4 linked regions of the Notamacropus eugenii genome follow. The main gene of each other region encodes a partner of the protein of the gene in region 4 in a complex. Links are inferred from orthologs where the notes say so. Each region holds a gene or a part of one and is shown on either strand. Other genes may lie near its edges.

Region 1 (7,170 bases), about 280 Mb from region 4:
TGATGACATCATTAGGATGCAGAAGGCAATCTGTTCTACCTTTCTGGCTGGACACCATTCACTCATTCATTCACTTGTGCCTGTGTACTCACATAAGTCTAAAAGGGCACTGTTTGTATATGACAAGTTCTGCTTTGTATGCGACTTTTTCCCTTCTGTAAAATGGGGAGAATATTCCTTAATCCATACCCATCTCATGGAAAGATAAGTTTCCTGAGACACTGGGAAAGTTCTCTATGCTCTTCAAAAAGAATAAAAAATAAAAAGCATTACAGAAATCCTATACACTGAGATTTCTCCTCAGCTGCTTCCCCTATATAGGCCCTTGTTACAGAAGATAAAACTCAAGCTACGTTATACTAAATGCTCTTGGTTTCTTAAAGCTGCCTTTTTGGAGATCCATCAATGGAAAAGGGTACCTAGTTGCATTCAGATACTAGGGACAGCCTTTGGAGGGTGAGGTAAACTCATTTTCAGGCTCTCAAGATTTGGGCCATAGGAAACTCCTAGTTTTTTTTCTCTCTAGAATCAAGAGGATGAAGAGGATAATTTCATATTTTCTGCATTTTAATTGCTGGGATGTGGTCATACACAAGTCATTGCAACAAGCCAACTACTACCTATCACATTAACTGACATTTTGGGCTCTACGTTTCTTAAAACAGAGTGGGGGGGGGGGGGAGGGAACCTGAAACAATTGAACCAAGATATAAAAAAGGCAACCTAGCTTGGAGAGGGCCAAACCTAAAGCATTAGAAGGCTTAGTCTTGGCTCCTTCATTACCTTATCTTCTAACTGCAGAATAAAGAAAGTCCTGAACCCACACTAAACAAGTTAAAACTTCTCAGCCTAATAACCGCCAAGGATCGAAGCCCTTTTGGGAGGAGGCATCTGGCTTGGCCTCTTAGGTACCCAGAAGACCCAACCCTCTTCCCCAATGGGGCACTGACATTTCCCCACTCCCCAAAGATCTAAGTGATCACTGATACTTGGGTCTCAGAAACAGAGTCAGAGCTGAAGAGCAGAAGTCTCCCTTGGGGGTAGATCTACTTAGTTCAATGGGACAGGCTGGCGGGAGATTTTCTGGGGACTCCAGGCCTTCTCCCTCCATCACAACGCCCCCACCCCCACCCCCAGCTTGGGGTTAGAGTATGAATAAAAACAACGGCGGGGGAGGGGTTCCTTTCTCCAAGGCCCTGGTGGTGCCTGGGGTGGGTGGGTGTGATGGATGCTGCCCACCCCTTCTCCACCCACAATTAAGACTACACACTACCCCCTCCATCCCTGGGTTGCCGCTACCTTAACCACGGGAGGGGCAAGAGGTGACCTATGACCCTGTGGGGGTGGGGGCGGATGACGTCAGAGGAGCCGCTACCCGCCCCCTAACGCCAGCCTTCTGGCCCAGGACCCGGGCCCGTAAAGGAGTTTGGGGGGGGGGGGGGGGGAAGATGTCTGGGGACACGGTGCTCTAGCGGCCCCCTCCCCCACCAGTCCTGGGCTCCCCGCAACGGGGCGGCCTGCAAAGCCAGGCCGTGAGGAGGGACTAGCTGGGAAAGGAAGGAGGAAGGGAGGGGCAGCTGAGGTCTCCGCCCCAGGGCCCAGCGCCACCTGCCCCCAGGGCCCGCCCGCCCGCTACGTACCGCAGCTCGGTCCCCTTCCCAGGGCCGCAGCCGGAGCAGCTCTGAGCTCGCCACTTGCCCCACGGCGCCCTTAAATAACGCCGGAGCGAACCAATCGTCCCCCTGCCAGAGAGGGGGGGGTAGCTTCCCCACTCCCAGGACTTGCCCCGAAGCCCCGTGCGAGGGCCAGAATTCCTGGGGTTTCCTCTCCCTCCCCCAAAAACTGCTGGTAATCAGTAGCGTCCGTGATGGAAAAGGTGCAACACTTGCTCCTCTCGATGTACCTCGCCTCAAAGGGGTCTTGCTCCCCACTAGGTTCCCCTACCGAATTGCGGAAGGTGGAAGGGACCGGCTCTAGGCTGAACTAACTTCGGGCCAGTGGGGAGAATAGACAGAGGTAAACAAACTCAGGCCCTCTCTCTACAGTTCCTGCTCCAGTCTGACTAAGACGCCTTCTCTGACCTTGACCTCTAGCAGAACAAGCCTCGCACCCCGGTGTTCGTTTTTCTATTTCTCCCTATACTGCCACTGCTTTGAAAAAAACCCCTCTTCCCTGCCACTGAGGACTCGTCTGCGACCCAGGGGCAGATGGGAGGTGTAGTCCAATGCTGGCCAGACTTGGGGCCTGCTTGAATAGGGTTCCAGAACAACGGGCAGCAGGAAAGGCTGAGGGGCAGGGGGGGCGAATTCCCGATCTGGATCCCAGGACCTTAGCCCCATCCCCAGCCCTTTCTTCTTTCTCCCGAAGTCGCGCCTGCACGTCCATTACTACACTCAGTGGGCCTGGGCCCCTTCTCTTCTTCCATCAACGCCCCCCATCCCCCGCCCTTCCAGTCACAGCAGGATGAGGTAATTGGATTGTGATTATGACATCATAATAAGCTCAGCTCTTTTCCTCCTCCCTCCCCCACCCCCAATGTATTCTAGAGGAAGCGCCCTCAGGACTCCTCTATCAAACCCCGCTTTTCATTCTTTGTGTAGAAGTGGTCAGACCCTCGCAAAGACCTTCTTTGTCCATAAAGCAGGAGTGGTCAGTGAGAGGAAAGGGCTATTCTTTCACCAAAGCCACAGGATTTCAGTCTGAAGTAACTGCACAAGTTACGAGTAAAACTCATCCCCCCCAAGAAAGACCTAGATGAAAGAGGCTAAAATAGAGGAAAACAGGGACAGAGACTTGAGAATGAATGCCAAGGGAAATAAATGAATCCACAGTCATGCCATCAGAGAGGCAAAGGGGTAGAGAAGTGATTTTAACCCAAATTTGAGCCAGTGGAGAAGGGCTTTCTTATTGCAGGCTGGCAAGTTTGTAAAACAGGGAAGGAACAGGAAAGAAGAAAAAAAAGAGTAAGGCAGGACACTAAGCTAAATAGGGGGCATTTTCTTCATCAAGGGTCAATGAGGGTCTTGCCCCAGAAAGCTGGGCAGCCTCCCTGCCCAATTTCCTAAAGGCCTTGTCTTCTCAGCACACTCCACATGCCCCAACACTGAAAGTGGTAGGTGGCTTCCATCTCCCAAGCAGTATAGCCAGTGACAGGGAGCTTCCAGCTGGAGACAGGGAAGTGAGGTGATAAGAGCCAAGATGTCAAACTGAAAAGAGAGAGGGGAAAGGGCCCATTTTCAAGAGGTAGGTAGACAATAGCTATCTATCCTCCCTGTTTTTCTCAGAGGTAGCTTAGCTTGGAGGGAATAGTACTCATTAGGATCTTCATTATGCCCCTTTTCCCCACTCCTAGAGAATAACCGCAAACATTTTACAACAGAAAGTAAAACCCTGGTAAGGATCAGACTGTGAAGTATTAAACAGACAATTCTTCCTAAAGTTTAAGGTAGTACGCTTGTAGATAATGTAACTTTATGGGGCAGAGGCTAAAATTAGGGCTCTGAGATACTTGCTTTCTCCCACCACACTTGTTTAATTTCCATATTTAAGCTTTCTGATCAATATATCATTGACTTGTTTGCATAAAAAGAAAACTCTACTCGTTCCAATTCCCAGTTAACTATCCCAACCCCAGTTTATCTAGTATGTATACACCTGTTTTGAACTCAGCCTTAATTCAGCCATTATGAAGTAATATTTTATTTATTATAAATTATTATATAAAATTATCATATATTATTAATTATTATATGTAATATGTAATACACAACATGTATTATAAATTATTATAAATAAAATGATTTATTTGTTCATTATGAAATATACCCACACCCTGAAAGACAACTCTTTTGATACTGTTCCTATGAACCTACCTGGGTTCTCATTTGGTCTTGATTTAGATTCCACAGGGGAGTCAGAACACTGAGCCAGCCTTTCAAGAAGTCATCTGAAGATCCTGAATCCATGCTCCCTGAAATATTCTCCACTCCCTGCCTAGCAAAGGTATATTTATTTAGGAGAAGAAACAAAGGCAGAATGAACCAGGACCAATGCAGACCCATTTTTTATATAGGTAGCTGTTCTCAGAACTGGGAGCAAGAAAAAGGTTTAGATTAGTCTAGGGTTCAGGTATCATTACAATGACTCCATTAAGAAACTTTGGCCCTTGTCCTTTCTCTTATACCCTAGCTTTTGTCAAAGGAAGAGAAGGTTTAGAACTCAAATCCCACAACTCACTGTAGCCAGGTACAAGAACACATATCATTCTCTTTGAACAGCAAAGGCTGACTGGGAGGATCCCAAGCATGTAGGGCTCGTCGCCATTGCCTGATCTGGGCATCCCAGGAACGTCGGCTGTACCTTCGGCTTTTGTCAGGTGTTTGAGGGTGAAGTCCTGACTGCCGTGTTGCCCTAGAGATAAAATGAACATCTTAAATTATGGTCAAAGACACCTATAAATAGATGGAAGAGGCTTAGTGCTCCTGTGTTATTGGCATGACTGAGAATCAGCCTAGTTGAAGAAAGAATTCTTCAGCATTGTTGGACATAGTTCATTAATTGTTTGCAGGTATCAGAGACTAACTTTAGAACAATGTTCATAGGCTCACAGATTTAAAGCTGAAAGGTACACCTCAGAGACTGCTTAGACCAAATCCCTCATTTTATAGCTGATAAAACTGAGACTGAGCTTTGGAACTTTGCAGTAGCTATATCCCATCCCTAGAATGCACTCCTACCTCACCACTACCTCACAGAATCCTTAATTTCCTTCAAAGCAAAGGTCAAAGTCCACCTTTTACATGAAGTTTTTATGCCCTTCAGCTCCCCCCGCTAAAAAAAAAAATTACCTTGTATACTTTTGTGTACAGGTTGTCTTCAGAACATAAGGGCCTTGACGGAAGGTACTATTTCATTTCTACCTAACATATAGTAGACACTTAATAAATACTTGCATATTAAATGACTTGTACACAAGACCACATGAGTTACAGTAAATAAGGCTAGAATTTGAGCTCAGGTCCTCTGACTCAAAATTCCCCACTCTTTCTATTATACCATGCTACTTGCAAAGTTGAACCCCTCTAAAATGCCTTCCCTTACTGACGAATAACAGTGTACTGACTCATGTTCAAAGTCTAAGAGAAGAGACAGAATAAGTCCAGGAAAGTTTAGCCTAATATTTTTAAATAGAAGATTCTATTTATAAAGATGCAGAAAGGCAAGTGATGAGAAGGTTTAGGAAGACAAGGTAGCCATTAACAAGATCAGAACAAGTATTATAGACCATGTAGAATGCTTAAAGATGTTTAGAAAATAGCAAGATTAATTGATAGGCTTCCTAATTTTTCTTAAGGCATTCTAATATGAATATCAAGGTGACTTGGTATTAATTGATAACAATTGATGGTAAAAGATATTTTCAGTTCTTCAAAGGATAAATGTTGTCCATCCCCAAACCCTCTGCTCTTACTTAGGGACTTGCTGTGAGAAGCACTGGTAACCAGCTGTTCGTTTCCCATAGTCTATCTGCTTTTGTCTCCTTCGAAGAACAATCTCATCTGTTTCTACATCCTGCCTGTGGAGAAATAAATGTCCTATCAATAAATAGCTATGAAAAACATAAAATGTTCTTAAACATCTCTTTACACTGCGGCCATCTCACTCCATCTGCCAGACTCCATAACTCACCTGCACCTTCTGCAGCTGTTCTCTGTGCTGACTCCCACACTCACCATCTTCACTCCAGAGGAAGAATTCCCAAGCCCAAGCATGTTCTTATCGGTTCTATAAGTAAAGAAGGTATCAGAATGACTAGGTGATTGCTGTGCTTTTTCCAAAGAAACACATCCTTCATCTGGATCCTGGACAGCCAGATTGAATTAGTGTCCACATCTCTAAAACACCCTCCACAATCCTCAGAGCTTCAATAAATAGCAAACGAACTTACATTGGACTTTTATTAAGCACCTACTGTTTGCAGGTCCTGGGGGAGATCGAGCTCAGATAAGACACACTCTCTTCCTTTCAGGATGTTTTTTTTAACTACAGTCTGGTAGGACAGAGGTAGTCAGTCATTCACGATACCATACGTGCTTAGAGCACGGAAAGGTGCAAAAAGGAGAGGTCAGGCTACAATAGTTGAAACTGGACAGCAGCAGGAAAAGCCCTTCGTTCCCCTACTCCTTTCCAAGGAAGGAATGGAGAACCTGCACACCCCAATACACACCTCTCTCTCCTCAATTCCAGAGTTTCTAAAGGCAGATTCTCCATTTCATCGCATCACCTCTCAGAGCACTAAGGTGAGGAGTCGGTGCATTAGCTAAGGCGAAAAGGAAGGTAGGGGGAATAAAACAGCCCAGAAACCCTCACCTGCACTCACCAGGTTTTTCAAATTCACCATTCAAAAGAAATAAGCTGGTGAGGGCGGGGCGAGAGGGAGCGAAGGGAGGGGGTGAGGGGGGTGGAGATTTAAATCTCCCGGGTGGAAGGCGTGGGAAGGGCGAGGTCCGGGCGGACGGGATGAATGGCCAAAGCATGAGCCAATCATGTATCCGATTTTCCCCGGAAGGCGGAGTTTAGCTCGGGTTTCGCCGTAACCTCGTAGCCAATCCGCCGCCGACTCGCGCTTGCTCGGAAGATTCGCCCAATCCCGAGTCCCGCCCATCTCTTTGAGTTTGGGTCCTGCCTAGCAGCAGGTGACGCCACAGCGAGCGGGTCTACAGACTAGATTAGATTGGCTGAGGCGCGCGTGGTGGGGCGGGGAGGGAGGGTGGGATTCGCTGGGAAGACTCACGGCCATTGGTCAGGAGGCGTCTGGGGGTGGGACTTCTAGGAGGTGCTCGGCGATTGGCCGGGAGGCTCCTCGCGCAGCTCTGGGGGCAGGCGGAAGGTTTGAACTTTCTAGGTGTGGCGAGCTGTTGGGCTGCGTCCTGACTTATAGCTCCCGGTCCTACCCTGGAGGTCCCGGGGAGTAGAGGCACGGATCCGGCGCACGCTCCTGTCTGCTACCTCCTGCCAGAATTGTCCTTCTTTGTACATCCGCCACAATTTCCCCCCTACACGCCCTCCTATCCCCGGAGTTAAGCAGGTATGTTTGCCTGGTCTCGATCCTAGCTTTAGGAACCGAAAGGGATCTGTAAGATTCCCTGATCTATCCCTCGTTTTACCGGG
Region 2 (8,251 bases), on a different chromosome or scaffold from region 4:
ACCCAACCAACGTAACCCAATTCTAATATCATGGTCAGTGTTTTAATCCAAATTGCCATGTCCTAATTGAGTCAACTTCATTCTAGGAAGAGCAGCTTTGAATCACTGAATTTTAATCTCCTTGGGATAAAAAGGCCATATCTAAGTAACACTACCCAAAATAATACATGGACTCTTTGAGTACTCATCTGAGGATCTCTAAGGCTGGAAGAGATAAAAAGGGTATAAACGTAACATGGTGGCTAATATAAGCGAAAGGAATAAGATTTAAAAAAAGAATGAAGATAGGAAGGTGGAGAATACAGGCTTAAACTCCCTAAACACACCATAGCTATATTTCATAATTTGCTGGAACTATTTAATGGGTCTTAGCTACTTTATTTCATTTCTTTTTAAAAAATAAATTTTTATTAACAACTTTTTTTTTTACAAGATTACTTTTTAAAACGGAGACTTTTTTACGCTTTTATTTCAGTTCCAAATTTCCTTCTCTCTCCCTACTCCCCCCTCCCCAATCCACTGAGAAGAAAACAAAACCCATTACAAATTCAGTTATGCAAAACTAATTTCCACATCAAGCTTGTTTCAAAAAAAGCCAGGAAAAGAAAGAAGGATGAAATATGCTTCAAATCTGCACTCTGGGTCAACTGGTTATCTTTCTGGACAGCATTCTGTGATGAATCTTTGGAATTGTGATGACTTGTTGCGTTCATCAAAATTACCAAGTCTTTTAAAGCTGATTACCTTCACAATATTACCGTAACTGGACAGGTTATTCTCCTGGTCCTGCTCATTTCGCTTTGCATCAGTTCATACAAGTCTGGATGTTAGAGGTGGGATTTGAACCTATTATTCACAGGATCACTACCCTAATTCAAGCTTACACCATCTTTTACCTGCACTCTAACAACAGCCTCCTAATTAGTCTCCCAGCATCCAGTTTCTACTCTTTTCAAGTTCCCTAGCCTGTAACTGGAAGGCTCTTCTTTCCCTCATTCAAAATGAGGACAATTGTTACCTCCAATTCTATGGCACCTCTCCCATTCTCTAAAATTCTTCAAAGATTATTTACATCAGTTTAGCAATCACTTCTACCAATTTTTTCATGTACTGACTGTTGTGGTAGTCCAAGTCTGGGGACTTGAGGGCAGCCAGATGCTTTCTTACAAACAAATGCCTTACTTAACTTCAACTTCAACTCTGTATCAGCCATGTTAGTCTGTATTTGTACAGGTAGGGAGTCACCACTCTTCTGGATTTATCCTCTGACACCTACTTTCTCTTGCACCTTTAATATATGTCTTTTAAAAGTCCAAGTCAGTAGGTTCTCAGTGTATCCACACTAGCACTCTGTAAAGCAATGTGCTAAGGGCTAGAACTATGAAGACAAAAAGAAAAACCACCCTTGCTCTCCAGACACATGCTTTTGTGCTTCTGGAGGAGGAGGGAGAGGAGAACAGGCTATGAAGAGTTTTGCATGCCAAAGAGGATTTCATATTTGATCCCAGAAGTGACAAGCAATTGCTGGAGTTCAATAAGAAATCAGTGACATGGTTATGTTTCCTATGTTTAGGAAAAACACTCTGCCAGCTTAGTGATGGATGGATTAGAATGGGGAGAAACTTGTGGCAGTATGCTATGGCAAAAATTCAGGTATAAGTGGCACCAGGCTAGTGGCAGCATCAGAGAAGAGGGGGGTACATATGCAATAGATGTTAAGAGGGTAAAAACAACAGGTAATGGCAACGGATTGGACATGGGGGTGGAGGGGTAAGGTAAGAGGAGGAGGGGATGATAGGCAGGTGGTGAGCCTTGGTGACTAGACTCCTGATAGTATCCTCTACACAGTAACAGCCAAGTTAGAAAGAAGGGAAGGTCTGATAGAAAAGATAATGAGTTCAGTTTTGGAGATGTTGAGTTTAAGATGTTCACAGAACAACCAGTTGGATCCTGGGTCATCTCCAGTCATCCTGAAGACTATCTGGTCACCGGATCCAGATGGCTCTGGAGGAGAAGTGAGGCTGGGGACCTGCACAGCCCTCCCTCACTCAAAACAAAGTCAAGTGCAAGGGACGTCATCATTCTCTTCCAAAATGAAGAACACACGCAGACAGACAGTCAGTGAGGTGAGGGCGGACCTGGGGCTAGACAGTAGATCTGAGGGACATGTTCCGTAGGCATGATAACTGGATCTGTCAGAGCTAACAAGATCCCCGAGGGAATCAGTAATGAAGGCGCCCAAGTGCCAGCTCCTTGAAAAGGCTTTTCCTAATTCCTCTAGTTAGTGAACTAGCTGGGAGACCTTGGGCAAGTCACTCAACCTCATCTGTGAAATGGGGATGCCAATAGGGTCGTTGCGATAAAGGTAAAGGGCTTGGCACTGCACCTGGCATCCGTTAAGTGTTACATAAACATTAGCCATCATTAGTATCTACCTGCGCTCCCCGCCACCCCCACCCCGTTACAGCGCGGTATTAGCCCTAGCAAACCTCGGGGCCTCCCGGGATGCCCAGGGCCCAGGGCACACACAGTGGGCGCTTTACGGATGCTGGCGGAAGGCCACGACCCGGCCCCGGTACTCACCCGCGGGCTGCCCTCCGCCCAACGCAGGCCTGGCGGTGCTGGCTCTCGAGGCGCGGCCGGACTGGACCCTGGAGGGAAGGGGGCTCCATTGGGAGAGGCGCCCCGGCGGGCTGCGGGCGGGAGGGCACCCGCCGCCACCCCAGCCCCCCGCGGGGCCCGGCCCGCCGCCCCCCCAGCCCCCCAGCCCCCCGCGGGGCCCGGCCCGCCGCCCCCCCAGCCCCCCGCGGGGCCCGGCCCACCGCCCCTCAGCCCCCCCGGGGCCCAGGCCTCCCCCTCAGCACCCCCGGGGCCCGGCCCGCCCCCCCTCAGCCCCCTCCCCGGGACCCGGCCCGCCGCCCCTCAGCCCCCCCGGGGCCCAGGCCTCCCCCTCAGCCCCCCCGGGGCCCGGCCCGCCGCCCCCTCAGCCCCCGGGTCCCCGCTTCCTTCCAAGCCGTCTCTTACCCCGGACGCTCCCCGGCCGAAGCCGGGTCCCCGACCCCCGGTCTGCACCCGCTCTCCATCACCACTCACGCTCGGGCACAGGAACCGCCAGCCCAGGCGCCGCCGGTATTTCAAACAGAAACTTCCGGTGGAAGGGGGCGGGGCCGGCTCTGAGTCCCGGAGGCAGCCATGCTGTACGGAGGAAACCTACAGGAACGAGAGCGAGGGGGCCGCCATGTTGTACGGCTGGCCGGGGCTGGAGCGTGGTGGGAGGTTTGGGAAAGGCTGGGGTGAGCTCGTCAGGATGTGGAGTTGGAAGGAACGATCGCTGGAGAAGGCCTTGGGGCGAGGGCACGGTGACCTTGACTGGGGACATCAAAGACTCTCTAGTCCAAGTCCCCCATTTTACAGACGGAGAAACTGAGGCACTGAGAGGTGTCTTGATTTTCCCAGGGATACAAGACTAGCTAGTGAGTGCCAAGGGTAGCATTTCGAAGCAAGACTTCCTGGCTCCCAAACCCAGCGTCCTATCCACTGCACAGTGGGTTTAATAAAGGATCTTGTTTAATCAAGAATTGGAAGATCTACCTGGGCTTGCCCAAGCCTTCATCAGGGATCCCAGACAACTCAGCATCAGATGAATTAATATATGGAATACCTTTGTGACCTTAAAGCAAAGGTTCTTCACCTGGGCTCCACAGACCCCCCAGAGGGGTCCAGGGATATAGGTTTGATGAGGTTCATGAACTTGAATGGGGGAAAAAATACACCTTTATTTTTACTAACCTCTAACTGAAATTAAGCTTCTCCTACAATTATTTTAAAGCATCATGCTGAGACAGGGTCCATTGGCTTCATTGGACTGCCAAAGGGGTCCATGACCCCAAAAGAGGTTAAGAGTTATGCTAATAGTTCTTATATACTATATGAATATATGCCAGTATATATATATGTATATATATGTGTGTGTGTATACATATATATGTGCGTATATATGTATGTGTATATATACATATATATGTACCACTATATAAAAGTGGTACAATGGAAAGGCTTCCAGCTTTATATCTAGGATTTTGTGTTGTCGTTGTTAATCATTCATCATTAATTACATTGCTTGGTTGCCAGAATTCTTCTTGAATTTTGGCATAAAATCCAATTTCTTAAGACTGGGAGAGGGTGGAAAATTAAGGAGGTGAACAGTCAGATTGAAAGATAGTCCAGAATCCATATGCATACCAGTTATCTCATTAAATAATGTGAATTATTTATAAAGAATGAGAACATATTTATGAAAATTATTTATAAACAACAATCATGCTATATAAATAATATCTTATATATGTGTTATTGTAGTTTAGTTGTTTTCAGTTGTGTCCAACTCTTTGTGACCCGTTTTTGGGATTTTCTTGGCAAAGATACTGGAGTTTGCCATTTCCTTCTCCAGTTCATTTTACAGAGAAGGAATTGACACAAAGAGGGTTAAATGACTTTGCCCAGGGTTACACAGCTAGTAAGTGTCTGAAGCTGGATTTAAACTCAGGTCTTCCTGACTCCAAGCCTGGCACTCTATCCACTATGCTACAAGTTACCTCTTTACGTAAGTGTTACTATTCTTTAAATATTTGCTATTGTGATTATTAAAATACAAATTAATTTGAAGGTATTATTGAATTAATAGCAGCTTTTTTAGATTTTAAAAAATTGTTTAATTTGTATTGCCATCTTTTGTTTTTACACCACTTTTATTTCTGAATATGAGTGTTTCCCTCCTCTTCCCTAGTTTGTGTTGTATTCATTAATAATAAAGAAAAAACAGAGGGGTTTAAAGCAGCTCAGTGGATTAAACTACATTGACTGCGTCTGACAATATGTGCACTGTTGCACGCCCATAGTCCTCCTATATTTGCATTTTTTTATTTAGCAAAAATCTATCTTCTTACCTCCCCTCATCTAATCTGTGCACCCCCCAAATTAAGAGCCAAAGAAAAATAAGATCCTAGTTATAAACAAGTGTATCAAGCAAAACAAATTTTTACATGGACTTTGTTCCAAAAAAAAAGTTTCTTTTTCACTGAGTCTGTCATCAGGAAAGAGGTAGCATTTCATCATTAGTTCTCTGCAATAGTGTTTAGTCATCCTGCTGATCCAAGCTGCTAATTCTTTCATATTGTTGTCATTGCATTAATTCATGGCCATTGGAACAAATTGTTCTCATCCGCCCATTCCACCAGAGAAAGTCTTCACATACTTGAGGTACACACCTCCCTAACTCACCTGTGGGTGTGAGAACCCTTGGTTACCCTCAACCTGGTTTGGCCAGTCTGCCTCAATGGTTTACCCGGGTGTGGCCGCTGAGCATGCTGCAGCTTCTTGGAGCCACAGGTGAGAGTTGGGTGGAACAGGTGGACACCAAAGGTGGAAAGAGCCCTGAAAAGGACTTGGCAGCCATCACACCAAAGGTACCGGTCCTCCCTGAACACACGTGATGCACACATTGCCAGAGCTGGCTCAGCGTTTGGGAGGCTCCGAAGAAAAGTTTGGGAGAGAAGAGGCATTAAACTGACTACCAAATTGAAGGTCTACAGAGCTGTTGTGTTGCCCTCATTGTTATATGCTTGTGAAACATGGACAGTCTACCAGCGCCATGCCAGGAAACTGAATCACTTCCATTTGAACTGTCTTAGGAAGATTCTGAGGATCACCTGGTAGGATAAGGTACCAGATACTGAAGTCCTTGCTCGAGCTGAACTGCCAAACCATGCTCCAGAGAACGCAACTCCAATGGGCTGGCCATGTTGTTCGAATGTGAAATGTATGCTTGCCAAAAAGACTTATTTTATGGAGAACTCGCGTGGGGCAGGTGTTCCACATGGTGGGAAGAAGAAGCAATACAAGGATACTCTCAAGGTCTCTCTCAAGAACTCTGGATTTGACTGTGCAACATGGGAGACACTGGCACAGGACCCGCTCAGCATGGTGTGCCCACATCCGAAAGGGTGCTGTGCTCTTTGAGCAAAGCAGAATTGAGACAGCACAAAGTAAACGCAGGATGCGCAAATTTGGAGTATCCACCCCAAATATTCACATGGACAATCTGTGCCCAACCTGTGGTACAGTATTCTGAGATCTTATTGGTCTCATCAGCCACAGTCAGACACACTGAATTTCACTGTAATATGGTGATGTCATTTTGGTCCTCTGCGAAGACAAAGGACAGCAACCATTATATTAATTAATCACTCTCCCGATTGTGTTCACTTCATTCTGCTTCAGTTCATGCAAATCTCCCCAGGTGTCTCTGAAACCATTATCTTCATTACTTCTTGCACACCACAATAGTTCATCACGTTTACATACCAGAACATATTTAGCCACTCCTCAATTTATGAGCACCCCTCAGATTCCCATTTTTATCACCTTAAAAAGAGCTACAAATACTTTGTACAACCTTAGTTTGTTTGTACTAGTTTGTTAGTACTAATTCCTCCCTTAATCTATCCTCCCTCCAATTCACCCCTCCTCTTTTTTTCCTCCTATTGTGTGAAATGCATTTCTGTACCCAACTCTGAGTGTGATAGGAAAATGAGATTGAAGCATCATCCATCCCCTATCCCCACCTCCTTGTTTGTATAGATGTCTACTTGTGTGCCCTGATTAGGTGAGATAATTTCCCCTAACCTTCTTTCCTCTTTCCCTTACATTGCCCCAAGTGTATTCCTCTTCCCGTCTCTTTACATACTTCTTTTAAGATCATCAAGACGTAACAGAACCACTTCCACGTCTTCTGTCTAATAAGATTCACTCTCTGACCCCTGACAGATCTCATAAGGGACACGTATTATCTCCCCATATTAGGAAGCAAGCAGTTTACCTTGTGCAGTCCCTTAGCATTGTTTATTTCCTTGCCTTTTTAGCTTTCTCTTAATTCTTGTGTTTGAACTTCAAAATTGCTACCAAGATCTGGACTTTTCATCAGGAATGCTTTGAAGTCTTCTACTTCATTAAAGGTCCGTTCCACCCCCATCCCCTCCCATCCATCCCCCTGTAGCATTATATTCAATTTGCTGTATAAGTTATATATCCTTTGCTTTCTGGAGTATTGTGTTCCAAGTTATCCATTCATTTATAGTGGTAGCCACTAAATCATATAGGAGTCTGACTCTGACTCCTTGGTACTTGAATTCTTTCTTTTTTGACTGCTTGTAGTGTTTTGTTCTTTTTTTCTTTGTTTCTTGGTTATTCTTTCATCTGGAAGTTTTGGATTTTGACCATAATGTTCCAAAGCTTTCATTTTGGAGTTTCTTTCAGGAGGTGACTAGTAGATTCTTTCAATTTCCACTTTGCTTTCTGATTCTAAGGCAGGAATGGGTAACCAGTGACCTCAAGGCCACATGTGACCATGAGGCCACAGGTTCCCCACCCCTGTTTTAAGGAATCTGGGTAGTTTTCTTTTAAGGTTTCTTGAAATGTTATGTCCAAGCTTTTGTCCTGGTCATGGCATACAGATAGTCCAATGATTCTTAATTTATTTTTTTCTCCTTGATCTATTTTCCATGTTTGTTGCTTTTTGCTATGAGATATCTTACATTTTCTTCTATTCTCTCATCTTTTGACTTTGTTTTGATATTTCTTGTTGCCTCATGGAGTCACTGGCTTCTATTTAGCACTTTCTAATTTTCAGCGAGTTTGTTGCTTCAACAAGGTTTTGTCCCTCTTGTGACAAGCTATTGGTTTCTTTACTAATTTTTTCTTCCATAGCTCTCATTTCCTTTCCAATTGTTTACTCAAGTGTCTCATCTTATTTATTTTTGTAAGTTTTAAAGTTGTGTTATACTAGGAACTCAAGGACAGGCTGGAGATCTGCAAGTTTTTCAGCATTCCACAAATGGTCTGATCTAGGGCAAAGTTTGATTGTTGCCATCCTGATCTGATCTATGAAAGTTCCTGATCTGAATTTGGCTTGAGCAACAATAGAGAGTTATTGGACACAACTCTTATCAGCTAGCAGGAAAGCTTTGCCAGTTCAATGATTGAACTGCGTCCTTTGCTCACCTTTGGCCTGAGATTCCTGCCCTGGCTGTTCTAGAGGCTTCAGACTAAGCTAGATGCTAGAAATGAGATGCCTTTCTGCTCCAATGAACAAGCTTCCACTTGATTCTGAATTTGCTCCTTTCTTGGCACATCACCTGTTTACCATTGGCACACCACATCTGAGAACATCATTTCTGGGTGCAGATTCTCTTTT
Region 3 (8,233 bases), about 520 Mb from region 4:
GGCAGGTTGAAGATTAAATTACATTTAGAGGATTCACAAATAGACTGATTGAGGAGGAAGACTTGTATGTCCAAGGAGTCAGAGACACCTGAGATTCTTCCTCTGGCTTCTTATCTAAGGAATGTTAAAGGCATTAAATAAATTTTTACATTCCATGGGACAGGCTTTGTTCAGATGAAGCAAATATTAACCAAAAGATGCCTGAGAAATAAAACGAAATTTAAAATTCCCATAACAGTACAAAATTGACCGGATAAGGCATGACAGTCTGGTAGGAGTCTCATGGGTAAAGATAAAGATAAAGGGGGGGCGGAGCCAAGATGGCAGAGTAGAAAGACGCACATACACATAGCTCCAAACCCACAACCCACAGATCGGCTATAGGGGAGTAACTCACGGCGAATTCTGCACCCAGAGGCCACGGAATATTGGAGCGAGGGAGATTTCTGTTCCGGAGGGACCTGCAAACCTCTCGCGGGGGGTCCTTCGCGCTGCGGACTGGGCGCCGGGACTGGGAGCTGAGTGCAGCCCTGCCGCGGCCGTGGCACCGAGAGGAAAAGATCCGAGCAGGCTTCAGGGACGGAATCTCCAGCGGCTGCACAAGGCCCTCCACCCACAGGTGACAGGGGTTGGTGAGAGAGTCTCTTTGGCGGGTCGAGAGGGGAGTGGGGTGCCCCCATAATTCAGGCCCCCCCAGGAGGTAGAAGCTGAGAGGCAGCTGCAGACAGGGGCTCCCCAAGCGGGAGGGAGCCTGGATCCATTGTGGAAGGTCTGTGCATAAACCCCCTGAGGGAACTGAGCCTGAGAGGCGGCCCTGCCCCCACCTGACCACCTGAACTTAATTCTCACACTGAATAGCAGCCCTGCCCCCGCCAAAAGCCCTAAGGTGGGAAGCAGCATTTGAATCTCAGCCCCCAAACGCTGGCTGGGAGGACCAGGAGGCGAGGTGGGTGTGAGGAGAATATTCAGAGGTCAAGTCACTGGCTGGAAAAATGCCCAGAAAAGGGAAAAGAAATAAGACTATTGAAGGCTACTTTCTTGGAGAACAGGCATTTCCTCCCTTCCTTTCTGATGAGGAAGAACAATGCTTACCATCAGGCAAAGACACAGAAATCAAGGCTTCTGTGTCCCAGCCCACCCAATGGGCTCAGGCCATGGAAGAGCTCAAAAAGAATTTTGAAAATCAAGTTAGAGAGGTGGAGGAAAAACTGAGAAGAGAAATGAGAGACATGCAGTCAAAGCATGAAAAGCAGATCAGCTCCCTGCTAAAGGAGACCCAAAAAAATGTTGAAGAAATTAACACCTTGAAAACTAGCCTAACTCAATTAGCAAAAGAGGTTCAAAAAGCCAATGAGGAGAAGAATGCTTTCAAAAGCAGAATTAGCCAAATGGAAAAGGAGATTCAAAAGCTCACTGAAGAAAATAGTTCTTTCAAAACTAGAATGGCACAGATGGACGCTAAGGACTTTGTGAGAAAGCATGATATCACAATACAAAACCAAAAGAATGGAAAAATGGAAGATAATGTGAAATATCTCATTGGAAAAACAACTGACCTGGAAAATAGATTCAGGAGAGACAATTTAAAAATTTTGGGACTACCTGAAAGCCATGATCAAAAGAAGAGCCTAGACATCATCTTCCATGAAATTATCAAGGAAAACTGCCCTGAGATTCTAGAACCAGGGGGAATCCGCAGAACACCACCTGAAAGAGATCCAAAAAGAGACACTCCCAGGAACATTGTGGCCAAATTCCAGAGTTCCCAGGTGAAGGAGAAAATATTGCAAGCCCCTAGAAAGAAACAATTCAAGTATTGTGGAAATACAATCAGGATAACACAAGATCTAGCAGCCTCTATATTAAGGGATCGAAGGGCATGGAATAGGATATTCCAGAAGTCAAAGGAACTAGGACTAAAACCAAGAATCACCTACCCAGCAAAACTGAGTATAATACTTCAGGAGAAAAAATGGTCTTTCAATGAAATAGAGGACTTTCAAGCATTCTTGATGAAAAGACCAGAGCTGAAAAGAAAATTTGACTTTCAAACACAAGAATGAAGAGAACCATGAAAAGGTGAACAGCAAAGAGAAGTCATAAGGGACTTACTAAAGTTGAACTCTTTACATTCCTACATGGAAAGACAATATTTGTAACTCTTGAAACATTTCAGTATCTGGGTACTGGGTGGGATTACACACACACACATGCACACACGCACACATACATAGAGACAGAGTGCACAGAGTGAATTGAAGAGGATGGGATCATATCTTAAAAAAAAAATGAAATCAAGCAGTGAGAGAGAAATATATTGGGAGGAGAAAGGGAGAAATTGAATGGGGCAAATTATCTCTCATAAAAGAGGCAAGCAAAAGACTCATTAGTGGAGGGATAAAGAGGGGAGGTGAGAGAAAAACATGAGGTCTACTCTCATCACATTCCACTAAAGGAAAGAATAAAATGCACACTCATTTTGATAGGAAAACCTATCTCACAATACAGGAGAGTGGGGGACAAGGGCACAAGCAGGGTGGGGGGAGGATGGAGGGGAGGGCATGGGGAGGAGAATGCAATCCGAGGTCGACACTCATGGGGAGGGAAAGGATCAAAAGAGAATAGAAGTAATGGGGGACAGGATAGGATGGAGGGAAATATAGTTAGTCCTATACAACACAACTATTATGGAAGTCATTTGCAAAACTACACAGATTTGGCCTATATTGAATTGCTTGCTTTCCAAAGGGAAGGGGTGGAGAGGGAGGGAGCTAAAGAAGTTGGAACCCAAAGTGTTAGGATCAACTGTAATGTTCTTACCACTAGGAAATAAGAAACACAGGTTAAGGAGTAAAGAAAGCTATCTGGCCCTACAGGACAAAAGAGAAGACGGAGACAAGGGCAGAGAGGGATGATAGAAGAGAGAGCAGATTGATCACAGGGCCAATTAGAATGCTTGGGTCTGGGGGGGGGGGGGAGAAAAGGGGAGAAAATTTGTAACCCAAAATGTTGTGAAAATAAATGTTAAAAGTTAAATTAAAAAAAAAAAACTTATACAGCTAAGGGCAGAAGCAGAAATAAAAATAACATATATTGACCTTAAAAAAAAAAAAGATAAAGATAAAGGCATACCTGTCTCATTTCAAAGTAGTGGTTAATGAATGTTATTTAGTTCTCTGCCAAGATGAACAAAGTTGAACTAGGAGTGGAGTTGTACTATAGTATTTCATTCTTTCGGTGAACTTCACAATTGGCTCTACCAAATGCTTACATCATAAAGGCTAAGTTTACTTTGTGTCTCTAGAGCAACAACTGAAGGAGGATGAGTGGGGTAAGAGGGAAACAAAGCATCTGACAAAATTTCTCATATTGGGCAAGATGGATGAATGTAGGTTCTATGTTAGTACAGTTAAGTAGATTTGACACTGTTTGAATGATCAAACCCACAGCACCTGTTGATGAGCTAATGTTATCAAAGAGGAAAATTGTTTATGGGTTATTCTGAGTCCTCTGCTGTTCAGCATTTTTATTTACAACTAGAATGAATGTGTTAATGGTGACTATTCTGCCCCCTATTACCTAGAAGTCAGATATGTTAACATTTTGCCCCTCTCCAGGGTTCTCTAGGAGAACCTCCAGGAGCCTCAAGGGTATCTCATCTCTCTGACATTGGTAGCTCCCATTGATAGCATACCACCTTTTGCCCTCTCTTTACCCTTTCTTTACAGTTTATTTGTCTAGATCCCATTCTATTTCTTCTTCCTTCCTTAGTATTCCTATTTATCACCATACCCTTCACTCGATCTACTTCTCTTATCTATCTTATGCTCTTAGATAGACTTTCTCATATTCTCTGATCACCTTGCCTAATGTTATGTATTATCTGCACTCTCTCCTCATCTCTGTACCTTTCTCAATTCTCACCTCTCATAGTCTCTTTGCAGATTAAAATATAATCTTTTTTGATGGTTGCCCATACAATGATGCCTCATAGACTTTATTTTATGTTTCATCATCTACTTTTACTATATTTTTTTCTTCTTCCATGGAGAACAGATTAAATTTGTGTTTTCTTTTGGTTTAAGACTGGGATAGTAGGCCCAAGAACAGGAATCAATTCCAAAGCAGAACTTTTCTAAACACATAGAATCACCAGATTCATTAAAAGAAAGACTGAGAGACAGGATCTTTTCCTGTTCCAGATCACAGATTGCAGAAGTATAAGGAAACTTCTCAAGGTAGGAGGACATGGGAAAAATCCCTTTCCCATGAAAGAGGTATCAAGCAAGTATTAGTATACATCATCTTTGACAAAACAAAACAAAACAAAAAAAAAACATGAAGAAGAGATACCATGAATGCAATGAATGCAGAAAAGTCCTTTTCAATCATTTTTCTCTTACTGTACATGTAAGAAAATCATACTGGTGAAAAACGCTACAAATATGATGAATTTGGAATTTTTTTATTATACTGCTCATCTACTCAACATCAGAGAATTCATACTAGAGAGAGTCCCTATGAATGTAATGAATGTGGGAAGACCTTCAGCTTGAAAGATATCCTTACATGACATTAGTTAACACACGCTGAGAAGCTTTATTAATGTAATAAATATGGGAAAGCATTCTTTGACTTCTTATCCCTCTTCTCACATCAGGGAATTCATGGTCAAGGGAAACCTTATGAATGTATTGAATGTAGGAAAGCCTTCAGCTAGAGAAGTCACCCAATATCTAAAAACTCATACTGGAGAGTAACTCTGTGAAATATATGGGAGAACAGTGTGCGAGGATTTTTTCTGGTAGACTTAGAACTTCATTACAATGCAAAGACTTAAAAAATTCCCAATAGTCTTTTAAGACAAAATGCCTTCCACATCCAGAAAAAGAACTATGGAATTCAATCGCAGAATGTAGCAGATCATTTTCTTTTGTATTACTTTTTGGTTTGTTTTATGATTTGTCCCATTCATTTTAATTCTATGCTACATGACTAAGGTGAGGGTGTATTTAGTGGGAATGTATGGGTAGAACTGTTCAGTTCAGAGTTTTAGTTTTGATTGGCTCCTACAAAATGACACATCCAACAATAAAAGGATATAAAATGGATTTATTATAATTCAAAAGATAGGTAAGCATAGATCAGCTTTACAAAAGAAATATCCAATACAACTCAATACTATTACAAATAAAGCAAATCCTACTAATATGTATATATTAGAGAAGGAAAACATCACCGAATCAGGGGAAGCACCAACTCTTAGTCCTTAGGGCTGGGGAATCCCAGGAAACTGCCCATTGAGTCCCGATCAGAAGGTCCCAGGCAGAGCGTCCTCTCCGTGGGTGAGACTCTAACTAGTCAACTAAACTTTATTCGTGAAATAGTCTGAGAACAAAGAAGCCTTGCTGCCAAAGATGTTGGCAAGGCACTAATCCTTACATGAGGCTCTGGAAAGGGGGCAGCCTTTCCAGGGCCACAAGGACAGTACTTTCCCAGAATGACTAGTTCCAGGAATCCATAGGCAGCTAATTAAGTTCTTCCTTGTGGACCTGGCCAGGGTTCAACAAGGATGTCCCTCAAGTTCTCAGGACCAATTGTGGACTCTCTGTTCGCAAACACGCTAGGGGTGAATTAAAGTTCATAATATATTCATAGAGACTGAGGCCTATGCCTATATAATCTTACTATAAGCCTTCATAATCTTTCAAGAACCCATATAGAATTGTATGTGGTCTCGGGGAGGGAGGAGAGAGGGAGGGAAACAAAAAAATCTAGGTTATATGAAAGTGATTGTGGAGCACTGAAAATGAATAAAAAAAAAAAAAAAGGAATAAAACAGCCATACTTTATCATGTGGTTGTTGTTCCAGTTGTTTTTCTAAAAATTTACTCTATGCCAATTAAATGTTTTAAATATGAAAAAAAATATGTGGGAGAAAATTTTTAGTAGTAAGTCATCTGTCATTAAACATCAAAGATGTTATGTTTAAGAGTATCCCTGAAAATATGATAAATTCAGAGAAAATTTCATTCAGATTTTTCACTTTGTTAAATTCTCAAGAGTCAAGGCAACATGAGAAGCAAAGATGTAAACTTAGTCCCAATGATATTAAATCAATCTGTGTTTCAAATAGCCTACTTTTTCTGTATCTTATTAAATTTCTCTCCTTTTGTTGCTAACTTTTTTTTAAATTAAATGGTCTTTGCATACTATCTTATAAACCTAGCTATACACAAAAGCTAAAATGTAATAAAAATTATCCAAAAATAGATCATTGTCCCCCCAATTAGGAAATTAAGACTATCTAAAACCCTTGTAATGAAACTTCAAAATTAGCAAACAATATTTCCAATACCTTGAATAAATATTATAGATCACTAGAAACTGAAAACAAATACCAGAAGGAAAATATAATAGAATACTAACATCACCAGAAAGAAAGCTAAAATCATCATAATATTGCATCAATATGGATAATAAACTCACTGAAGCAAAGTCAAAGGAAAATTAAATCATCTAAAACATCACAAGATGAAATAAGGAAGACATAAAAGCTTACAAATATTTTCAGTACTTTGAAAATACTTATAGAAAACTAAATAAAACAATGGCTTCATTTAGAAACAGAATTGTGATGCTGGAGTATAAAATTGCAGAAACAGTTGAGAAAACAGGAAAAAATGTAGAAAACTAAGAAGGTATCTAAAAGTATTGTAAACAAAGGAGATCAGTCTTTTCCATATTTATGATTAATTTTTTTCAGTCTGCAAAAATACACCTCTCCCTCCTAAGTAAGAAAGAAAACTTACAGGTGGGCTGAGATCTCATCTGAGGAGGCTGGCTATGAGGCAGCAGTAGGAAATAGTAGATTCCCTGTCCAGATGGAAGTTGCCCATGATGAAACATGTTACCACCTCCTTGTTCGACGTACAGAACTCAAAAATGCAGAATGAGACTTTTTTATCCCATGATCAGAACAGAAATTTGTTTTGCTTGATTATATGTGTTTGTAACAGGGTTTTGTTTTTCCATGGGAGCTGATGAGATCACCAAGTAAAGGAGATATAAAGGGAGAGAAAAAGAGGATCCAAGAAGAGCCTTGAGAGATGTCTGTGGGTAGAAGGTGTGATCTAGAGGAGAATCCAGTAAAGGAGAATGAAAAGGAACATCACTTGGGAGAAAAATCAGGAGAAAATGGTGTCCCAAAAACCCTGGGGAAAAAAACACTATAAAGCTTGGGTTTTGCTCATGGTATTCAGGTAGTCCAAAAATTCTTCAATTGTCTCTGCTTGGTCTGTTTTGTTGATCAACTGTTTATTGGTATGGGATAACATATCTTTTTTTTTCTCAGTCTTTTAATTTTGTTTTAATATTTCTTGTTTCCTCATGGAGTCATTAGCTTCTGTTTGGTTCAATCTGCTTTTCAGAGAGACTATTGCTTGGGAAGGTTTATTTTTGTCTTAGTTTTGTTTTAATATTATTTGTTTCAGTTTTGTTTAATATCTTGCTTTGTATTTTAAATTTTGTTTTAATAGTTCTTGTTTCCTCATGAAGTCATTAGCTTCTATTTGATCCAATCTAATTTTCAAAGAAGTTGTTGTTTGGGAAGGTTTTGTACCTCTTGTGCCATACTGTTAATTCTTTTTTCAATTCTTTCTTCCATAGTTCTGATTTCTTTCCCATTTGTTTCTCTAGCACTCACTTGTTTGTTAAAAAAAAAAAAAAGTAAATTATTTTTTCCCTTAAATTTTTACTTCCTCTCTCCCAGGGAATTCTGGTTGAATTTGTATCCAAAATAGCATTTTCCTTGGATGTTTTGCTTGTAGATATTTTGGAGTCATTCTCTTCTGAGATTGTGTCTGGAGCATTCTTTTTACTATAATGGTTTTTATGGAGGGATTTTTTTTGGTTTGCTGATTCTTCCAGCCTCCTTCCTGATGTTGGCCTTTATATTAGAGAAAGGAGATCAATCTTGAGGAAAAAGTATAGAGAAAGAACATCAGAGTTATCAGGCTCCCTAAAAGTGTGATATAGAAAAGAAGCCAACCATCATATTTAAGGAAATCACCTAAGACTATTTCCTTAAAATATTTAAAATAAGGGTCAGGCTTAAAGATCAAGATGAATCCTACATTCAGTGCACTCAGTCACTAAATCATCTTCTGGAATTGACCAATCAGTGAATTGTAATGATTCCTTCAATTTTTAGTGCTTTTCCAAGTATATAAAA
Region 4 (7,425 bases):
TCAGAACTAAACAATATTCCAGATGGAGTCTGGGTATTGTAAGATAATCACCTCCTACTTCCTTACAGATTGACTGGAAGTGTTGCCTCTAAATGTAGCCCAAGATCACATTAGTTTTGGCTGCCACATTATACTTATGACTAATGTTGAACTTGTACCGTACTCAGATACTGAGAGAGTTTTTTCAAACAAACTTTGGAACCATGCCTCCATCATCTTGTACTTGTGAAGCCAATTTTTTGCAAGCAAGTGCAAAAGGTGAACGACCTAGGAAAATATCCTTCAGCTCCTGAGGCCAAGCCTAGGCAAAGGGAAGAAAACTGGTACTGGATGGAAGAGGCCCTCAGTGGGATGCCAGCATCAAGGGAAACAAGGCTCCATTCCCCCTGCTCTCTAAGGATCTTGTTTCAGATAACCACAATCACTTAAAAGCAATAGTTAACCCTTCCACCTGTCCTGCCCATCTCCTCACTGTCCCCAAAGACCAGTGTTCTTGAATATCTCACTGTCACTGGAATCTCATCTTCCCTGGATCATCTTTCCTTCTATTCTTCTCGTCCCTGAGACTAAATAGTTCTTAGGATAACAGAGAGCTAAAAAAGGAAGGCCAGGTTTTGCCTATTCATAAATGGAGGTTTGCCTGTCTCTTGGGTTCCTGATAAAGAATCCAGTTAAGCTACTACTCACATGATACACCCAATGGACCAGATATCCACCTCAAAGCTGTGGCCCTTCTTACTTAGCACCTCAGGGGCTATGTAGTTCGGTGTTCCGCAGAGGGTCCTCTTACGTTCACCATCATATTCTACTCTGGTTGCTAATCCAAAGTCACCTGTAATAAGGGTTAGGAAGCAAATCATTCTTCTTCCCAGGAATCCAGATTGGTTTGACCCATAGTCCCATGTAGGTTGTTACTGATGCCCACTTCTGGCACCTAACAGCCTGGGGCCTTTTCAACAAAGCTGGCCCTATTGTAGCCTACAATATAAAATATAATTTTTCTATCCCATCTCCCTAGACTAGGGTAATCTAAAGACCCAGAGAGAACATTACTACCCCTGCCTCATCTCACTGGGGGGATTGGGGGGAAGGAGTTATATCCTCCTTTGTATAATAGGTGCCTGTCTCCAAATTTTTTTGAAATTAGATCCAGAATTCCTTTTGTTTTCCACAGTAAACCCTGGACCATGTCTATGTTCCCTGGTTGCCCAGTTCTGTTGTACAGAAGAAACAAAGAAAAGCATGGGTTGTTGATTTTTTTCTACAGTATTCTTTTAGCTACCAACCTGTGGCTGCCCTCACCTCCCCCATCTCCATCCCTATCCTTTTCTAAAAAACATGGAGCTGTGCAAGGAAAATATGACTCTGGGCATACACTTTCCTGCAAGCATTTTAGGACTAAATCTTCTTCAATCTGTAGCTCTCTTGCATAAGGTTGTGCATTTAAGCATAACTGCTTACTTTTGCCAAGAGGAATGATTTAACAGCAAAGCCAAAAAGAAGTTTATAAAATTTGGCTTGTGGAAAAGGCTCCAGTCACACAGACTTTAGACTAATCCCTGGGACTTTTGCTTAAGGGTCTTTCCTGGACAGCCACACAGATTATTCAACGGGGAATTAGGTCCATTTAGGAAGTTACACTTCCTGTACAAAATCCCAGCTTGGTTAGGGGTTCCCCAGTCTTACCTATCTTCACCTCCATGTCATCATTGAGGAAGAGATTACCCAACTTGAGGTCTCTATGAATAACTTTATTTTCGTGGAGATACTGACAGCCTAGGATAATCTGGCGAAGGTAATACCTGGCCTCAGGCTCAGTCACTGCTTTCCTTCTTTTATGCAGCTCCAGCAAGGACTGTGGGAGGCAGCGAGAAGAGACACGCGCTAAGTCAAGGGGTCTCAGACTCTGTTATCGGGGTGGGGAGGGGGTCGTGTGAGTGGAAACCTTGCGGGGGGGGGGGGGAAGGGGGGGCAACAGAGCTACTCCACCCTAATGCTGCTTATGAAAGAACTCACAGGGGATCCACTCTCTCCCCGAGCCCCGAGGGTTCAAGACATGAACTGAGGCCTCGAACTTGAGAACTCAAGGGCACGATGGAACTTGGAGCCAGTTTCTGGGTTTAGCTGGGCCCGGCCCCCAACCTCCCGGGCTCTCGCTAGTGCCCACGCCGGTTCTATGGTGACCGCTTGGTGGGGAGATCGGAGAGGAAGCACGCCCCACCCCCAGTCCTTCCTGCAGGCCCTCCACCCCTCTGATAGCACCCCGGGGCACTAACGTCTCCTCGCCCGTCCCCCCCACCTCCGGGGCGCTCACCCGCCTCCGGCACAGCTCCAGCACCACGAAGACGAAGTCGCTGTCCTCGAAGAAGCCGTGGAAACCGACGACGTGCTGGTGGACCAGGCTCTTGTGGATATTGATCTCCATGGACATCTTCTCCTTCTGGTGCGGCTTCAGCAGCAGCGACTTGGGCACGATCTTGCCCGCAAACACCTCCTTGCTCTGCAGGTCCGAGAGCTCGAAGCACTTGGCGAAGCCGCCCTTGCCCAGGAAACGGCCCCGCAGGTAGCTCCGCCGGCTGCGAGGGTCCACCAGCACCTCGGGGATGTCCGGGGCGGCCGCAGGAGGGGCGGTCGCGGTCCCGGTCCCGCCGCCCGCTCCGGCCCCGCCGACAGCGGGCTTGCCCCGAGGCTCCGAGGAGCCCACGCCGGGCTGCCGCAGGGGTAGCTTCGCGGGCGCCGCGCTCATGATGCCGCCGCCGCCGTCCCCAGCCGCCTCTCCCAGCTCCGCCCGCAGCCGCTCCGTCCTCCTCCCGCTGCTTCTCGCCCGGCTGGACCTGCCCGGGTGCGGCGCAGCGGCTGCGGCTCGGCTCGGCTGGGCTAGGCCAGCTCCGCTAGGCCAGCTCGGCTCGGCTCGGCTCGGCTAGGCTCGGCTAGGCCAGGCCAGCTCCGCTAGGCCAGCTCGGCGGGGCTAAGCTAGGACAGCTCGGCTGCACTCTGCCAGCCCCAAGCGGCGCGGCTGCAGGGTCAGTGCAAGTAGCCCAGAATTCAAACCCAGCGCCGGGAACGTTACGGGGCGGTCCGCGCCGCCGATTGGCTGCAGCGATTTAAAATCCAAACCCGCCTACCGCGGGGCACGATGGGAGAGCCCTCGCCTCCACCACCCACTAGCCCCTGCCCCACCTGCGAAGGCAAGCCGAGCTTTCAACAAACTTTATTGACAGCGAGTGGGGGGCCGCTGTCAAGTTTGGTTGTCCTGGGAAGCCTGGAGATTGAGCGTGCTGAGCGTGCTGCACCACGGAGGAAGAAGGAGGGAGGGAGAAGCGATCTGTGGCAGTGACTGGCCTGGGAAGGACCCCCAGGGAGGAGGAAATCAATTGATGATGGACCACGAACCATCCAGGAGCTGTCTGTAGCTGAACAAGAATCTCCTTTTTAGTGTTACCGAGTGGGCGCTTATGTATCTGTGTATATTTGCGTGTGTATATGTGTGCATTCATACGTATGCATGTATGTGTATATGTGTATGTAATGCGTGTGTGTGTGTGACTCTGGGCAAGTCACTTAACCCTGTTTGCCTCAGTTTCCTCATCTCTAAAATGAGCTGAAGGAAATGGCAGTATCTTTAACATGACAACCCTAAATGGGTCACAGTCAGACAAGACTGAAGGATAAAATATGGTGGGGTACAGACTCTGAGAAGCTCCTTGAACTCTGCTTGAATCTTCCCACTTAATCTGGACTTTATACCCAAATCTATGACCCTTAACCTAGCCTAGCCCATCTTCCATTACTTCCCACTCAAGCTCTCCATAGTCTGATACCTCCCAATTGCCTCCAGCTGTTTCCCACCCTTCATTACATCACTAGTTACCCTAGTTTCTTCCAGATCCTCCTTAGACTCTCCTCCCAGACTACTACACCACCTCTAGATCTTTCCCGCAGACTTTCTCTATATAAATTCCATCTCACCTCCATGAAGGGGCTCAGATTCAATCTAGCTTTGACTGTCTAGCCAACTTTCTATTTGGCCCACTTGTTAATACAAGCATCGCAAATGGCAAGGCTCCTTAAGAGTCAATCCAACATGGCAAACCTTTAATAAACTTTGCTTTACTTTTGCTAGAAGAAGTCTTGAGTCGAATTCATTCGGCAGGAACTGGCTTGTCCGTATTTTGGGGTCCTGAGTTCCCCAAACCTCATGGTTCCCAAACCTCAACAAATACATACATGCATATACATATATATTTATATCCTCCTCCAAAGGCGAAACAGTTTTACTTTTGCATAACTCTATTTGCTAGTAAGCTTTTCTTAAGATGGGGAGTATATCTGCCTCTCTATAACTTACACTCACTGGTTTAGTTCTGCCCTCTGGAGACAAGCAGAACAAGCTAATTCCTTTTGGATACAACGGTCCATGATACAACGGTCCTACAACTACTTGTAGGCAGCCATTTCTCCGGTCTTCTTTCCACTCGCTTTTCTCTCCCATCCCACCCCAGTCATTTCTTTGCCATTCTAAATATACCTCAGTTCCTTAAACTCCACTTTGTAAGACAAGGACTCCAGTACTTTCACTAACCCCTTCTTAAAATGATGCCTTTTTGTTGAAGAACCTTCAGGGGCTCCCTAATAACTCTAGGATTGGGTGTGGAATATAGAAAAATCCTTCACTACCCCTGTAGCAAACTTATTGTACTTAGGGTCCAGTCAAATTGGTCTAGTTGCTCTTCCCCAGACTCGAGGGTCCCATTTTCAGTCTTCAGTGCCTTTGTATGAACAATCAAATAAGTTCATCCCACACACTCAGAATGCACTACTTCTTGAGCTGTGACTTTTATAATCCTTGATTTGGCTCTGTTCAGATGCTGCCTCCTACCAGAAGCTTTCCTGATTCCCCCTGGCTGTTACTGATTTCTCCCTCCTTAAGTTTTCAAGTATATAATCGGAGAGGTATTGGAACAAACTCATATTTGCTAGAGAGAGCGTCATTTAAAATTTTCCGTGTGAGCATTTACATCTTGGAAATCAGCAAGTGCAATGAATTAGAAATTTATTGTTTTGTTGATTTCTAGACTTTAAAAAAATGAAGAAAATAATAATACAAATTAGACTGAAAAATGTGTCTTGGAATCCCAAAATATTCATGATGAAAAATGCTTTCCCTTTGAGAAAAAGAACAGATGGCATCTAATACAGACCAAAGTGCACTATTTTTTCACTTTCTTTGCTTCTTTCATTTCTTTTTCAGGTTCAAGTTTTCTTCCACAAAATGACTAATATGGAAATATGTTTCACATGATTGTACATGTATAACCTATATTAGATTGTTTACCGTCTCAAGAAGGAGAGAGGGAAAGATAGAATTAGGAACTCAAAGCTTAAAAAATATAGAATGCTAAAAAATTGTTTTTACATGTAATTGGGGGGAAAGTAGAATATTATTTGAATTTTTAAAAAATGTGTCATGCTTACATTTTTCCAGAAAGCTGGAAACATTTACAGACTACAAGGTGAGTCTTACCTTACAGCTACAAACATTTCCAGAGAGCTAAACATTTACCAGTACAATCCTGCATCTAATTTATAATATGTAATATATTAATTATTAATATATTATTATATATAATATAAGTTTCTTGAAAGCAGAGGATGTTTATCATTTTTTTGTTTTTACTTCCACTCAAATAATTTACTTTATATTGTTTTCTACAGACATACTTCATATTTGCCTTGCTTACTTGTACACACCTTGTATCCTCTCAATATAGTCTAGCACTTAGCACAGAGTTGGCACAGGGTAAGGCACTTAATAAGTTTTTATTGACTGACTATAGGAGAGTTGGAGACCAACTCTAGGATCTAATCACAGAAGTTAAGGCACCATCATTTCTCAAACATGGAGAAATGAGTCAAATTTTTAAGAATACAAGGCATTCCTCAGTTGTTAAATGGTCAAAGAATATAAACAGGCAGTTTTCAGATGAAGAAAAAAATGCCCTAAATCACTACTGATTAGAGAAATGAAAATTAAAATAACTCTGAGGTACCACATCACATCTATCAAATTGGCTAATATGACAGAAAGGGAAAATGATATATGTTGGAGTGGATGTGGGAAAATTGGGACACTAATGCACTGTTGGTGGAGTGGTGAACAGATCCAGCCCAAAGGTATCAAACTGTGCATACCCTTTGATTCAGCTGTATCACCATTAGATCTGTATCCCAAAGAGATCAAAGAAAAAGGAAAAGGACCTACCTATACAAAAATATTTATACCAGCTCTTTTTGTGATGGCAAAAAATTTGGAAATTTAAGGGATAACCATCAATTGAGGAATGTATGGTATATGAATGCAATTGAATACTATTGTGCTATAAGAAATGAGGAGCAGATGAATTTGAAAAAACTTGGAAGGACTTACAGGAACTGATGGAAAGTGAAATGAACAAAACCAGGGCAACATTGTACACGGTAATGGTAACATTGTATGATGATCAACTATGAATGACTTGGCTCTTCTCAGCAATACAATGATCCAAGAAAATTCCAAAAGACTCATGGTGGAAAATTCTATCCACAACCAGAGAAAGAACTGATGGAGTCTGAATGCAGATCGAAGCATACTATTTTCATTTTTTAATGTTTTTTTTTCATTTCTTCTTTCCCAATATTGATGGAATCCTAATAGAGCTGCTAAATCAGCCCCAATATTCTAACTTCCTTATGGGCCCCACTAAACAGCAGGTATGGCTTGATTTGACCATACAATCTGGCCTTAATCATACCATAGGTCCTCAAACTCAATCATCGGCAGACCTGCTGCCTCTAGCTAGCCACTGCATCCAGACTCAACTTAGCCACTGCCTCTAGCTAGCCATTTCCCCTAGCCAGCCATTGCCACCAGACTTAATCCTTTAGCTAGCCTCTACCCCCAGATGCAATTCACATATTTTCCACAGAAACAGGTATGTCTATGCACTCAACCTCAACCACATCATCCATCTTGACCAGACAGGACCACAATAGTTAGCCAATCAGCAGCACTGCCAGGATGTAGAGCAGGATGTTTGACCACCAAACCATAGAAGGGGCCCTCCCTAAGATAGCACCTTCACAGTAATAGTAAAGAACTGACCTAGAGTGAAGTTATGGTGTAGAGAGGATTATTATAATTTCATTATCATACGTACATGCTCCCCTTTACCCCCTTTGGATTTTTCTATATGTACTGTCGGTAACTGCATACAAAGTTCCACCCAGGCTGGGAACCCTCCCCTATTACTTAATCTCTTAACAAACCCCCTCCTGCCTTTTAAATATTAATCATATTCAAATATTCTATTTAAATTTTTATTGTGCAATCAGCATCATATACACTATAAAATTGTCTTACCTTACTGAAGTTAATTCCTCTAAGAA

Evidence for each region.
Region 1: the proteins of PLK1 (region 4) and CDC25C are in contact, whole or in part, in a crystal structure (PDB 3BZI), measured with the Homo sapiens proteins. The link is inferred for Notamacropus eugenii from reciprocal best matches to the Homo sapiens genes PLK1 and CDC25C. Residues at the interface, in NP_005021.2 of Homo sapiens: Lys413, Trp414, Val415, Asp416, Tyr417, Tyr485, Glu488, His489, Leu490, Leu491, Arg516, Phe534, His538, Lys540; in NP_001274511.1 of Homo sapiens: Leu126, Leu127, Cys128, Ser129, Thr130, Pro131, Asn132.
Region 2: PLK1 (region 4) and KNSTRN share a complex: the UniProt entries of both Homo sapiens proteins name them as parts of the astrin (SPAG5)-kinastrin (SKAP) complex. The link is inferred for Notamacropus eugenii from reciprocal best matches to the Homo sapiens genes PLK1 and KNSTRN.
Region 3: the proteins of PLK1 (region 4) and MIS18BP1 are in contact, whole or in part, in a crystal structure (PDB 8S31), measured with the Homo sapiens proteins. The link is inferred for Notamacropus eugenii from reciprocal best matches to the Homo sapiens genes PLK1 and MIS18BP1. Residues at the interface, in NP_005021.2 of Homo sapiens: Lys413, Trp414, Val415, Asp416, Tyr417, Asp419, Tyr485, Ser487, Glu488, His489, Leu490, Leu491, Arg516, Phe534, His538, Lys540; in NP_060823.3 of Homo sapiens: Asn73, Ile74, Phe75, Gln76, Ser77, Thr78, Met79, Leu80.

Annotation. Positions count from the first base shown.
Region 1 is NC_092872.1:365,474,637-365,481,806, reverse strand, and holds the start of CDC25C (M-phase inducer phosphatase 3), read left to right. Parts: upstream 1-3,993; 5' UTR 3,994-4,002; intron 4,003-4,236; coding exon of another isoform or gene 4,237-4,410; intron 4,411-5,470; coding exon of another isoform or gene 5,471-5,575; intron 5,576-5,688; coding exon of another isoform or gene 5,689-5,784; intron 5,785-6,226; coding exon of another isoform or gene 6,227-6,270; 5' UTR 6,271-6,299; exon of another isoform or gene 6,300-6,498; intron 6,499-6,821; exon of another isoform or gene 6,822-7,087; intron 7,088-7,170. Other genes in the region: oocyte-specific histone RNA stem-loop-binding protein 2-like, read right to left, coding at 3,012-3,206, 3,873-3,993, 4,237-4,410, 5,471-5,575, 5,689-5,784, 6,227-6,270. UniProt on the Homo sapiens protein: Functions as a dosage-dependent inducer in mitotic control. Tyrosine protein phosphatase required for progression of the cell cycle. When phosphorylated, highly effective in activating G2 cells into prophase.
Region 2 is NC_092878.1:26,428,182-26,436,432, reverse strand, and holds the start of KNSTRN (small kinetochore-associated protein), read right to left. Parts: upstream 3,144-8,251; 5' UTR 3,084-3,143; coding exon 3,025-3,083; intron 2,652-3,024; coding exon 2,584-2,651; intron 1-2,583. UniProt on the Homo sapiens protein: Essential component of the mitotic spindle required for faithful chromosome segregation and progression into anaphase.
Region 3 is NC_092872.1:606,016,420-606,024,652, forward strand, and holds the start of MIS18BP1 (mis18-binding protein 1), read right to left. Parts: upstream 3,224-8,233; 5' UTR 3,133-3,223; intron 1-3,132. UniProt on the Homo sapiens protein: Required for recruitment of CENPA to centromeres and normal chromosome segregation during mitosis.
Region 4 is NC_092872.1:81,487,002-81,494,426, forward strand, and holds the start of PLK1 (serine/threonine-protein kinase PLK1), read right to left. Parts: upstream 3,041-7,425; 5' UTR 2,747-3,040; coding exon 2,315-2,746; intron 1,856-2,314; coding exon 1,687-1,855; intron 833-1,686; coding exon 688-832; intron 1-687. UniProt on the Homo sapiens protein: Serine/threonine-protein kinase that performs several important functions throughout M phase of the cell cycle, including the regulation of centrosome maturation and spindle assembly, the removal of cohesins from chromosome arms, the inactivation of anaphase-promoting complex/cyclosome (APC/C) inhibitors, and the regulation of mitotic exit and cytokinesis.